2 linked regions of the Coturnix japonica genome follow. The protein of the gene in region 1 binds, or shares a complex with, the protein of each later gene. Links are inferred from orthologs where the notes say so. Each region holds a gene or a part of one and is shown on either strand. Other genes may lie near its edges.

Region 1 (4,536 bases):
TAGACTACTTCAGGCAGGCGGCTCGAGAGATCATAGAGGAGAAAGGGGCAGTTGATGCCCTGGCAGCAGCTCTAGCCCATATTTCTGGGGCATCTTCCATACAGCAGCGTTCCTTACTCAACTCAGCTGCGGTAAATAACATTATAACTGCTTTAACAAGAACAGATAAAAGGATTGCTTGAATTCTGTGCAAGTGTGGCATTTTAGTACCTTCTCTTCAGGACCTTTGAGTATGATTTCTTAGAACTGTTAGCTCATTCTAGTTTAATGTTCTTTAATGGAACTCCGCACTTACTGGCATGCTGTGGGAAACTAGAGAGACTTGGTAACAGTCAGCACGTTTTCTTGCAATGAGACACCAAGTAATTGTGCTGGACATCTAAATAACTCAAGTCTTTGATGCTACAGAAGAGCCTAATTAAGGAATCCTTACAGTCTGATAGGCTGGCTCTTGCTGTTGTAGTTTACCTTTTTCAGGAAGCACCTTACTTCCTATAAGCTATAGGCTGTCCAAGCAAGTTCAGTTTCCTCTTACAAGTGTATTTCTCTGTTACTCCCAAAGGGCTTTGTGACTATGGTGTTACAGTGCTCTATAGAGATGCGTTCCATGAGCTACGCCTGGAGAGGGCTGAAGGAGCAGCTTGGCGAGGAAATAGACAGCAAGATATCTGCCATGCGTTTCCTCAAGGGGAAGATGGTAAGACAGCCCGTCCTTTGGGAAGGAGGGGTGGCGGTGTTGGTTTGTGTGTGTGTGTGTGTTCAGTTTTGTGTCCTGGGATATATTTGTGGAAAGAAAATACCACTTTATTTATTTATTTATTTACCTGTTGTTACAGGGGGTGTGCTTCGATATCCCCATGGATGAGCTGAATAACATACAGGTACATTACAGTTGGAACAGTTGTGTTATGTGAAGTGGGATATATGGTCTTACCTGGGATTTTGTTCAGGGTGGGTTAGAGGATGGGGTGTGTGACGTAACAGGGATGCTGCACTGAGAGATGGGCAGAAGCATTGGGTTATTTCCTCTTTTTCCATGGCTGTGCTGTGCTGTGTTGGTGCTGTGCCACTCGCAGTGCTGACGTGTGGTGTCTGTGTCTCAGGAGCAGTGGCGGGACACGCGGCGCTGGCAGCTGGCGGTGGCCAAGGAGCTGCCGGAGCTGGAGGAGCAGCCGCAGGACTCGAGCCGCAGGCCGCAGCCGCGCTTTGGCGGCTTCAAGAAGAACGGGAGGTTCGGCGGCTGGCAGCAGGGCCGGCCGGCAGGGGCAGCCGTCGAGTGAGCGCGGACTGTCCGTGTTTTTACCACATTAAACAGCCGTTGGACGCTCGGCCGCTGTCTGATGTTGCACAAAGTCTCGCGGGTCGCCGTGACGGCGGGAGGGGGGCGGGGCTCGCGTGACGCGGGGCGGGTGAACGGCGGCGGCGGCGGCGACAAGATGGCGGCGGCGGGCGGCTGGTGGGCCGCGGCGTGCGAGAAGTTTCGCAACGCCAAGACGCTGTCGGACGTGGAGTCCCGTAAGGACCCGGAGACGGAGCCCTACCGCTCCAAGTACAGCGCCCGAGCGCTGCTGCAGGAGGTGAAGCAGCAGCTGAGCGCCGCCGAGGATTGCAGCGAGCCGCGGCTGCTGGCCGTGAGGCGGGCCGTGCTGGAGTTCGAGCTGGGCGTCAACCACACCGACACCGAGGAGCTGTCGGCGGGAGAGGAACATCTGCAGCGCTGCACGCAGCTGCTCGAGCCGCACCGACTGAACCGGGACTGCGTGTCACTCTACATCCAGGCACAGGTGGGCGGGGGGGGGCGGGGTGTCGACTACGGGCTGAGGAACGGCCCGGGGCTGGGGGAGGTGAGGCCTGAGAGGCTGCACAGCCGTAGGGGGCTGGTTTGAGACCTTATTGCACAGCCTTGGCTTTTACTTGCTACCCAAGTGGAGTTGGGGAATGTTTTTGTTTTTAATCTTACACGTAAGAGGAAAATTCTGAAGAACATGATCACATCCTCTGGATGTTTATGTGGGAACCCGTCCCTTACATGCACACACACACACACACACACACACTTTCACTTATGTAGAGCAGTTGTCCCTTTTAGAAATGGCTGCTGTGATTTAGGAAGGGCTCTGGAGTACTTCACAGCCACACAGTGTAAAGCTGCAAAGGGACTGTGTGCTTCTGTGAAGCGTGGATCAGATGGTGGCTTCTTCTGCTCTACCTGAGAAGGAGAGGCTGTAGTGAGGTGGAGGTCACCCTCAGAGCAGGTAACAGCGATAAGATGAGGGGTGATTGCCTCAGTTGGCACCAGGGGTGATTTGTGTTGAGTATTAGGGAAAAACTCCAAAAGAGCAGTGATACAGTGGTACAGGCTGCTGGGGAGGTGCGGGGAGTCACCATGCCTGGAGGTGTTGCAGAGCTGTGGGGGTGTAGCACTGAGGGGGTGGGCTGGGTGAGCTGAGAGTTTTTCCAACCCTAATGACCCAAATGGCTGCCCATTTGTGGTACGGGGCACCCACAGCTTTGGGCAGCATTCCCAGCACCCCACTGCCACTCCAAGGAAATAATTTCTTCCCAGCAATTTTACTGATGTGCTGGAAGTAACACTTGAGAATCTAAATAAAAACCAAACAAACAAAAAACCCAAAACACAACACTGAACGTCAAGATTGTGGCAGCCAGTAGTGGCTGTACTTTTACATGAGTACTCTCCAGTGCTGTAAAGTACACTGTCACCTCACTGATGCCTGTTTGGCAAGGAGGAGCATTCCTTTTCCTACCAGGCCTGTTTCTATAGCCCTCCTCCTCCTCCTTTCTGCCTTTCTGCATAAGGATACATGTGATGATTTCTGGCTAATTAAATTTGGTCAATTCTGTTGCACAGCTGTGGGCAAAGTGTTTTTGTTCATAGCTGTCATGATACGTGTGGCTTTCTCTTAAAATATAATAAAATAGAAGGAATCGAAAGGTCTACAAGGCTGGCATTCAGCTACATGTAAGAGCTTTCTGAAGGTTTTTTGTTTCCAGTCCTGTTAGATTTTGTAACAGCACGTGCTAGGAATTAAATTAGCCCACTAAACATGGGTTTGCAATTAGCACCTTCAACTTAATAATAACATTAGGGTTGTTTTTTGTAAAGAGTAGATGCAGTGAGACGTTACCATGCACTTTGCTGTGATATTCACTACTGTCTTTAAGTTTGTGGCTTTTGCACCACAGCACTTTTTAATTTCCTCGTCAAAATGTGCAGGTATTCATTCCTTCCACACTTTTTCCCTATTAGGTTTTTCCACAAAGACTCAGTGACAGATTTATTTGTCCTTGACTCTCCTTATATCTGTATGATTTCAAGGTTGCTTGAATCAGGTGCAGAATAGACTGTGTACAGAAACCTTTCTATATGAACACACCAGGGACAATTTAGCAGGGTAAACACAGAAAATTGCCATTTGTGAGGTGACTTTGTATGCTTGTCTCTGTGAGAACCCTCCTCTTTGAGCAGCTTGTGATAAAGTAGGTGAGAACAATTTTTGCCTTTTGGAATCAGTTATATTAGGCAGATACGTAGGGTTGAAGACCAATAAATTCTATGGAGAAAATGTTTAGTGTAAGTGGAATTGATTGGAAAATAATTGCTTTTTTTTTCCCTTTTAACTTCAGAACAATCTAGGTATCCTATGGTCCGAAAGGGATGAAATTAAAACTGGCCAGACTTACTTGGAATCTGCAGAAGCCTTGTATAATCAGTACATGAAAGAGGTACGGTGCTTATTAATCTGGCAGCAGCTCTTACATTCATACACCACTTACAGTTTTGATAATTGTGGAAGAAAACGTACAAAACAACTTGAGTTTGTGAGCTTTGTGATGTCGCTTCTGAAAAGCCGCGTGGTTTGTTTACTGGCATAGAAGGCGTAGGAGGATCACTTGATAATTCCAACATGGATCTGAGAAAATAGTTTGTGTCAGAAAACAGTGATCCTTATTACAAGGTCTTTGAATTGATACTCCAGTGCTGAATCTGGCTTCTGATTAAGATCATCCCACTTTTATTATGGGAATGCTTTAGAAGGTCAGGCAATTGCTTTTGGTTCGAGAAGGAAAACAAACTGTAACATCTGCGTGGTTTTCTCTGACTGAACGGCAATGTCATGCTGCACAGAGGCAAGTAGTTCAGCTTGTTTCCAAGAGGACAGTCTTCTGAACAGCTAAACCCCTTTTGCATGTTAAATGGTGTTCTGAGTTGTGGATTCTGCTGTGTATCGACAAAGGCTCCCTTGTGCTATTGTTACAGTCTTTGCAAAGCCTTTCTAACACCAGCTTGCTTTGGGGACAGGGCAGTTGTTGAGGGAGCTGAAAATATTAGTGACCTTAAAGGAGCAGCATTCTGTGTTTCAGGTTAAACAAGGTAGTTTCATGAAATTATGGTTTTATGGGAATACAGCTTACAGCACAGGTTACTCTCCTGGAAATTTCAGCACAGGTTATTCCTTATTGGTTACTCCCTGCCATTGCGCTGCCTTTGTAGCTGTGCTAGTCTATGGTTAA
Region 2 (4,695 bases), on another chromosome or scaffold:
GGTAGTCGAAATATTTTTCTATATTCATATAAATAGTGTAGAAGATGCATAAGGAACAGCAGAAATAAGTTAGTCTGGTTTACTGCAGTTTGATTTTAGGTTCCAAACCTGCTTTAAAGATCTTGGCTCCTTTTCCTTTCATGTCACTCCCTATATCCATGAAAACCTTCTGTTTATCTCATTCACCCCCTTTCTTTCACATCTAAAGTCACACTGCAGCACTGCTACTTGTTTTCCATGTGCCCTACTAGTTATGCAAGTCACAATGCACACTGAGGATGATCTCAAGAAAGTACTGATGTGGAGCAGCCAGTTAACTCATTGAGGAACTAAGCTTACAAACCAGTCATTCTCTTCTCTGAAGCACTAACTTGAGTTTCCTCCTACATACGTATTATCATAAGATTGCCTCTAATACACCCAACCCTACCATTGAACAAGGTTAATTAACTGATTAGTGAGTTCAGAAGTTATCACAGGTGATGTGAAGAATATACAGCAAGCTAATGACACTCCATTTCCCTACTCCCCAATTATTATCAATAATAAATTAACGTGGTGCTTTAGAAGTAGAATGACGCACCATCAAGAAAAACAGAGCTTCAACCATATAGAAACAGACAGCTTGGACATTACTTCAGATTGGGAATCAAAGGTGATATTAAATGATAGAAAACAAGCAAAGATCATCAAGCTCCTTTTTATGATTCTCTCGCTTTGGCTATATGAAGTAAGAAATTAGTGGTTTGAAATTCACCTTGTTCACTCGACTTCAAGGCCTCTTTGATTTGCTGTTTAATTTTCATTGCTTCTTCAGCAGTCAAGTCCCCTTTTTTCAGGGTAACCACTTGAGGCTGCTCATCTTCATTATCGCTGCCATTCTCAGAATCACTATCCGCAAGTGGAAGCTGTTCTCTCTAGAGAAAAGAAACAAAAGCAAAAAAAAAAATGATATAAATCAATTGGAAAAATAGAAGGCAGTGGTTTTGGTTTCAGGTCAGCAGTGATGCAAGCCATTGCACAGCTCACAGTACCAGGTTCTTCCAATGTATTTCAATGTATTCCAATGTGCTTTGCCCAAATGACACAAATCTGTCACATCCTCCAGTGTGTGTTATTGCAGCCCCAGTCCAGCAAGGACAAACATATTTATTTATGTATTTTAAATACGGATTTGCTTGTACTTGGCAACTAAAACGGGCTCGTAGGACTCAGTACAACTGTTCAGAGAATACACCATCATTGCTACAGAGTCTTATGTAACGGAATAAAAAGCACACACAAGCCCTACGGCCCCTACTGTAGCAGCTTATCAGCTGATATGGCCATTTTAACCCTTTAAAGACCATTAAAGACCATTTGAACCCTTTACAAGGGACACGATGCCGAGCAATGAGAAGGAAGCCCCTCTCCTCATGGAGGCCGTTACCTTGGTTTCCACCGTGGGCCCCTCCCGATACCCGACCTGCCGCTTAAAGCGGCTGAGGAACGCGGGCTCGGCCGGCCGCACGTAGGAGACCTGGTTCCTTTTGCTCATGGCCGCCACTTCCGGTGGCGGAGGACGGCAACCGGAAAAGAACAGCCAGCACGCTTCCTACTTCCGCCTCTCTTCCTATACCTTCATCACGTGACGGGGGCAGCAATGCTTCCAGCCAATGAGAGGAGAGAATGCAGAACAGGGGAAGGGATCGTGTAACGAAATGGCCGCTCCCTTGTTGGCTTCATGATAGGGGAGGAGCCACGTTGCTTTCGGCTCTTAGCGCCAAATTCAAACAAGCCGCCATTTTGGAGGGACAGGGGGCGGGCGGGGGGTTGTAGGGCTCCCGTGGATCATGGCTCCCGGCACGAGAGGTGAGGGGGATAAGGGGGTGATCAGGGTGTGCAACTGAGAGGGGCTGGGGGTACCTCAGGGCTGTTGAGCTGAGCGGGCTGTGGTGTGTGGCCGTGGGATGGGATCATCTCGGGTGTCCCCGAGAGCATTTATATGGGCATTTATCAGTAATTCCTTTCATCTACCTCATTTTATTGTTCGTCTTTTGTAGATTTACGTGACTCCGCGGTGCCTGTGATGAACTCATCCAGGTAAAGTATTATTGGCTCCTACGAATAACTCTGTGTGTGGGGGGGGGATAGTGCAAATAGTGTCACTGTAGAAAGTAACGCTGAGTTTTTCACGCGGTGTTTTTCCCACACAGGACTGTCTATATCTCAACTTAGTGATTTAAAATCAAAATCCCTAAATCAAAGTGTGGTTCTGAGGCATCGGATTTCTCTTAGAGCTCTTGGATCTCCCACCAGCTCTACTATATCTCTGAGGGATTTTTAGGCTTCTGTGCAGGAGTTCTAAGCTAAAAGAAAGACAAAAAGCCCTCCAAATATACACAGTTTCTGCCCTGTATGACAAAATACTTGTCAAGTTAGTGAGATGTCTGAAATCCAGTGTCAAGTCTTCATTGGTGGGAAGGTCCACCTCTGCCCTACCGCCAACATCCGTGTCAGATGTCATGTGCCAGAATAACAAAATAGGAGGCATTACTTCAGAGTGTTCAACAAAGAACAAACTGTTGTGTCCACTGATTAATGTGAAATTGGCCGGGGAGATTTTAATTGTAGGAGCTGCTGTCCTTGATCAGATCATTGATTGTGAATTGATTATTCTCTCCCTATGAAAAGCAAAGAAAATGCAAGATTTCTTTCTGTAATATATGTGTAATATATGTAACCATGTGTTCCGTTTGTGTAATCTTTTTCTGAGTTCCTGTAATGAAGAGGATGCTTGAAATCTACAGCCTTAGAAATTGCTCAAGCCCCATTGTAACTGCAGTGGTCTGTGTGGTCTCTCTTCCTCCCCTCTCTTTGTACTTCAAATTCTCTGTGATATGTGTTCCTTTAGAGCTGTATTTACAAGCAGAAACAACAAATCCCACCAGCTTTATGTTCCTTTTTAATCTGCCACATTGTAAGCTTTAATATTGTATCATATAATGAATTCGTGTGTACAGCCAGAAGGTCTGTAATTAGAGGAAATATGTTTGTATGATTTCAGGTGCTTAATCTGATTTTTCTAATGTAATTCTAACAAACAGCTGATATTTCAAAGAAATCTAATGCATAAATATTCATTTAGCGTTGAAGGGGATGCTATCAAGGTTTACGTAAGAGTACGTCCCCCTTCAGAGGGAACTGCATTAACTGATGGAGATCAAGGCTTGTGTTTATCTGTTCTTTCATCAAACACCATCCGTCTCCATTCGAAGCCTGAGCCGAAGATCTTCACTTTTGATTATGTTGCAAATATGGAGACAACACAGGTAATAACGTACAGAATTCTGTAGTGGTAGTGCCGGTTTTCCCCAGATTTTGGCAACTGCTGTGTTAAACCTTTTTAAAGACATAATCCCTTTGGTTGTATATTTGGAGGGTAGGGGGGTCTTAGTTTTTGCTGTGTTCTATTTGGTAATATATGGTTGTAGTTCAGACATGAGGCCCTGAATTCCACTTTTGAGTAGTTTTTATGCATATTTAAGCACCATTAATTTGTTTAATCAAAGCTCGTGTTAGAATTAAAGCTTCTGTTTGTAAATATGACAGTAATAACATGAACAGAAAATAACGCCCTGTGGAGATAATCACACAAAAATAGATGGTAGCCAATAACTGATGTTAAAGATACGATTTGTTTGTTTGGAGTTTATGGCCTTATAATAGCTGTATGTAATTTTTTCTGCTTGGTCTTAATGACCTTGGTAAGGGTAATACCAAAGGGAAAATGCTCCAATTTAATCTTGCATTTTTGAAGTTCTGAATATAATTTTCATTTAACATCACAAGCACCACACTTATATTTCTAAGCCCTTAAGGAATTCTCTCCTTCCTGCAATATAATCTTAATGGGAAAACCTGGAAGTAATCTGTCTGAGTTGTTTCTGCAATATCCTTACAAATGGTGATTAATTCCTTGGTTACATGAAGCATTGGTTGTATAAGGAGTAAGAGTGAGTTCTCTTTAATAGTGCTGACTTAAAGTGTATTCTAATAAAGGAGCAGCGTCATCCTTCAAGTGTCATCTGTCTTTTACATGATGAACTGCTTGTGACAGCATCCTGTCGTCCATCTTCATGCAGAACTCTGCATAGAAGTTGTGAAGTTTTTAATAAATGTCATAAGAACTCATAACATATACAGCATCTCTAAAAGAAAACGAAACACTGTCAGCTATCATTTGCAGCTAGGCTTTTCGTGCATGTCTAGGAAATGGCTATAAGCCACATAATTATAGTAAACATCAGACAAAAACTAATATTATACGTAATAAACATTTTGAAACCGTATTGTGGCGAGTTTGCTCTTTCAGTTATCAAATAGGAATAGAAAGTTTTTTACACAGAGAGTGTTCTACACCACAGACTTGCAATGTTTTATGACTTTTTTGCTGCAAGAGATCTCCAAGGGTCATGATAACCTGTCTGACCTTAAAGAATGCAATTGTTTTATATGTTACATAGAGTTATCACGTAGAAAAGGCTGATAGAAGAGATACTTAAAGTACTGGAGCCAAATTCCTTCTCCTTGCTTTGTCCCCAGGAATCAGTATTTTCAAGTGTGGCCAAAAGTATTGTTGAATCATGTATGAATGGCTACAATGGAACCATCTTTGCATAGTAAGTCAATTAATCGCATTTCATAGCAATTACG

What was found.
Region 2: the proteins of KIFBP (region 1) and KIF15 are in contact, whole or in part, in a cryo-EM structure (PDB 6ZPH), measured with the Homo sapiens proteins. The link is inferred for Coturnix japonica from reciprocal best matches to the Homo sapiens genes KIFBP and KIF15. Residues at the interface, in NP_056449.1 of Homo sapiens: Lys26, Tyr33, Lys36, Ile106, Glu109, Ile147, Ser150, Glu151, Glu153, Thr208, His209, Tyr212, Tyr213, Gln216, Gln219, His220, Phe224, Gln238, Glu248, Trp249, Ile251, Asn252, Thr255, Gln258, Phe259, Asn262, Tyr415, Val416, Thr417, Glu421; in NP_064627.1 of Homo sapiens: Leu187, Glu189, Ile191, Lys192, Lys193, Arg231, Glu232, Arg235, Arg271, Met280, Arg281, Leu282, Lys283, Glu284, Ala285, Gly286, Asn287, Asn289, Arg290, Leu292, Ser293, Gly296, Gln297, Ile299, Ala301, Val303, Asp304, Val305, Gly306, His312.

What each region holds. Positions count from the first base shown.
Region 1 is NC_029521.1:8,805,924-8,810,459, forward strand, and holds the start of KIFBP (KIF-binding protein), read left to right. Parts: upstream 1-1,325; 5' UTR 1,326-1,340; coding exon 1,341-1,784; intron 1,785-3,648; coding exon 3,649-3,747; intron 3,748-4,536. UniProt on the Homo sapiens protein: Activator of KIF1B plus-end-directed microtubule motor activity. Required for organization of axonal microtubules, and axonal outgrowth and maintenance during peripheral and central nervous system development.
Region 2 is NC_029517.1:39,703,762-39,708,456, reverse strand, and holds the start of KIF15 (kinesin-like protein KIF15), read left to right. Parts: upstream 1-1,817; 5' UTR 1,818-1,832; coding exon 1,833-1,851; intron 1,852-2,042; coding exon 2,043-2,082; intron 2,083-3,127; coding exon 3,128-3,311; intron 3,312-4,584; coding exon 4,585-4,661; intron 4,662-4,695. Other genes in the region: uncharacterized protein KIAA1143 homolog, read right to left, coding at 758-917, 1,430-1,537. UniProt on the Homo sapiens protein: Plus-end directed kinesin-like motor enzyme involved in mitotic spindle assembly.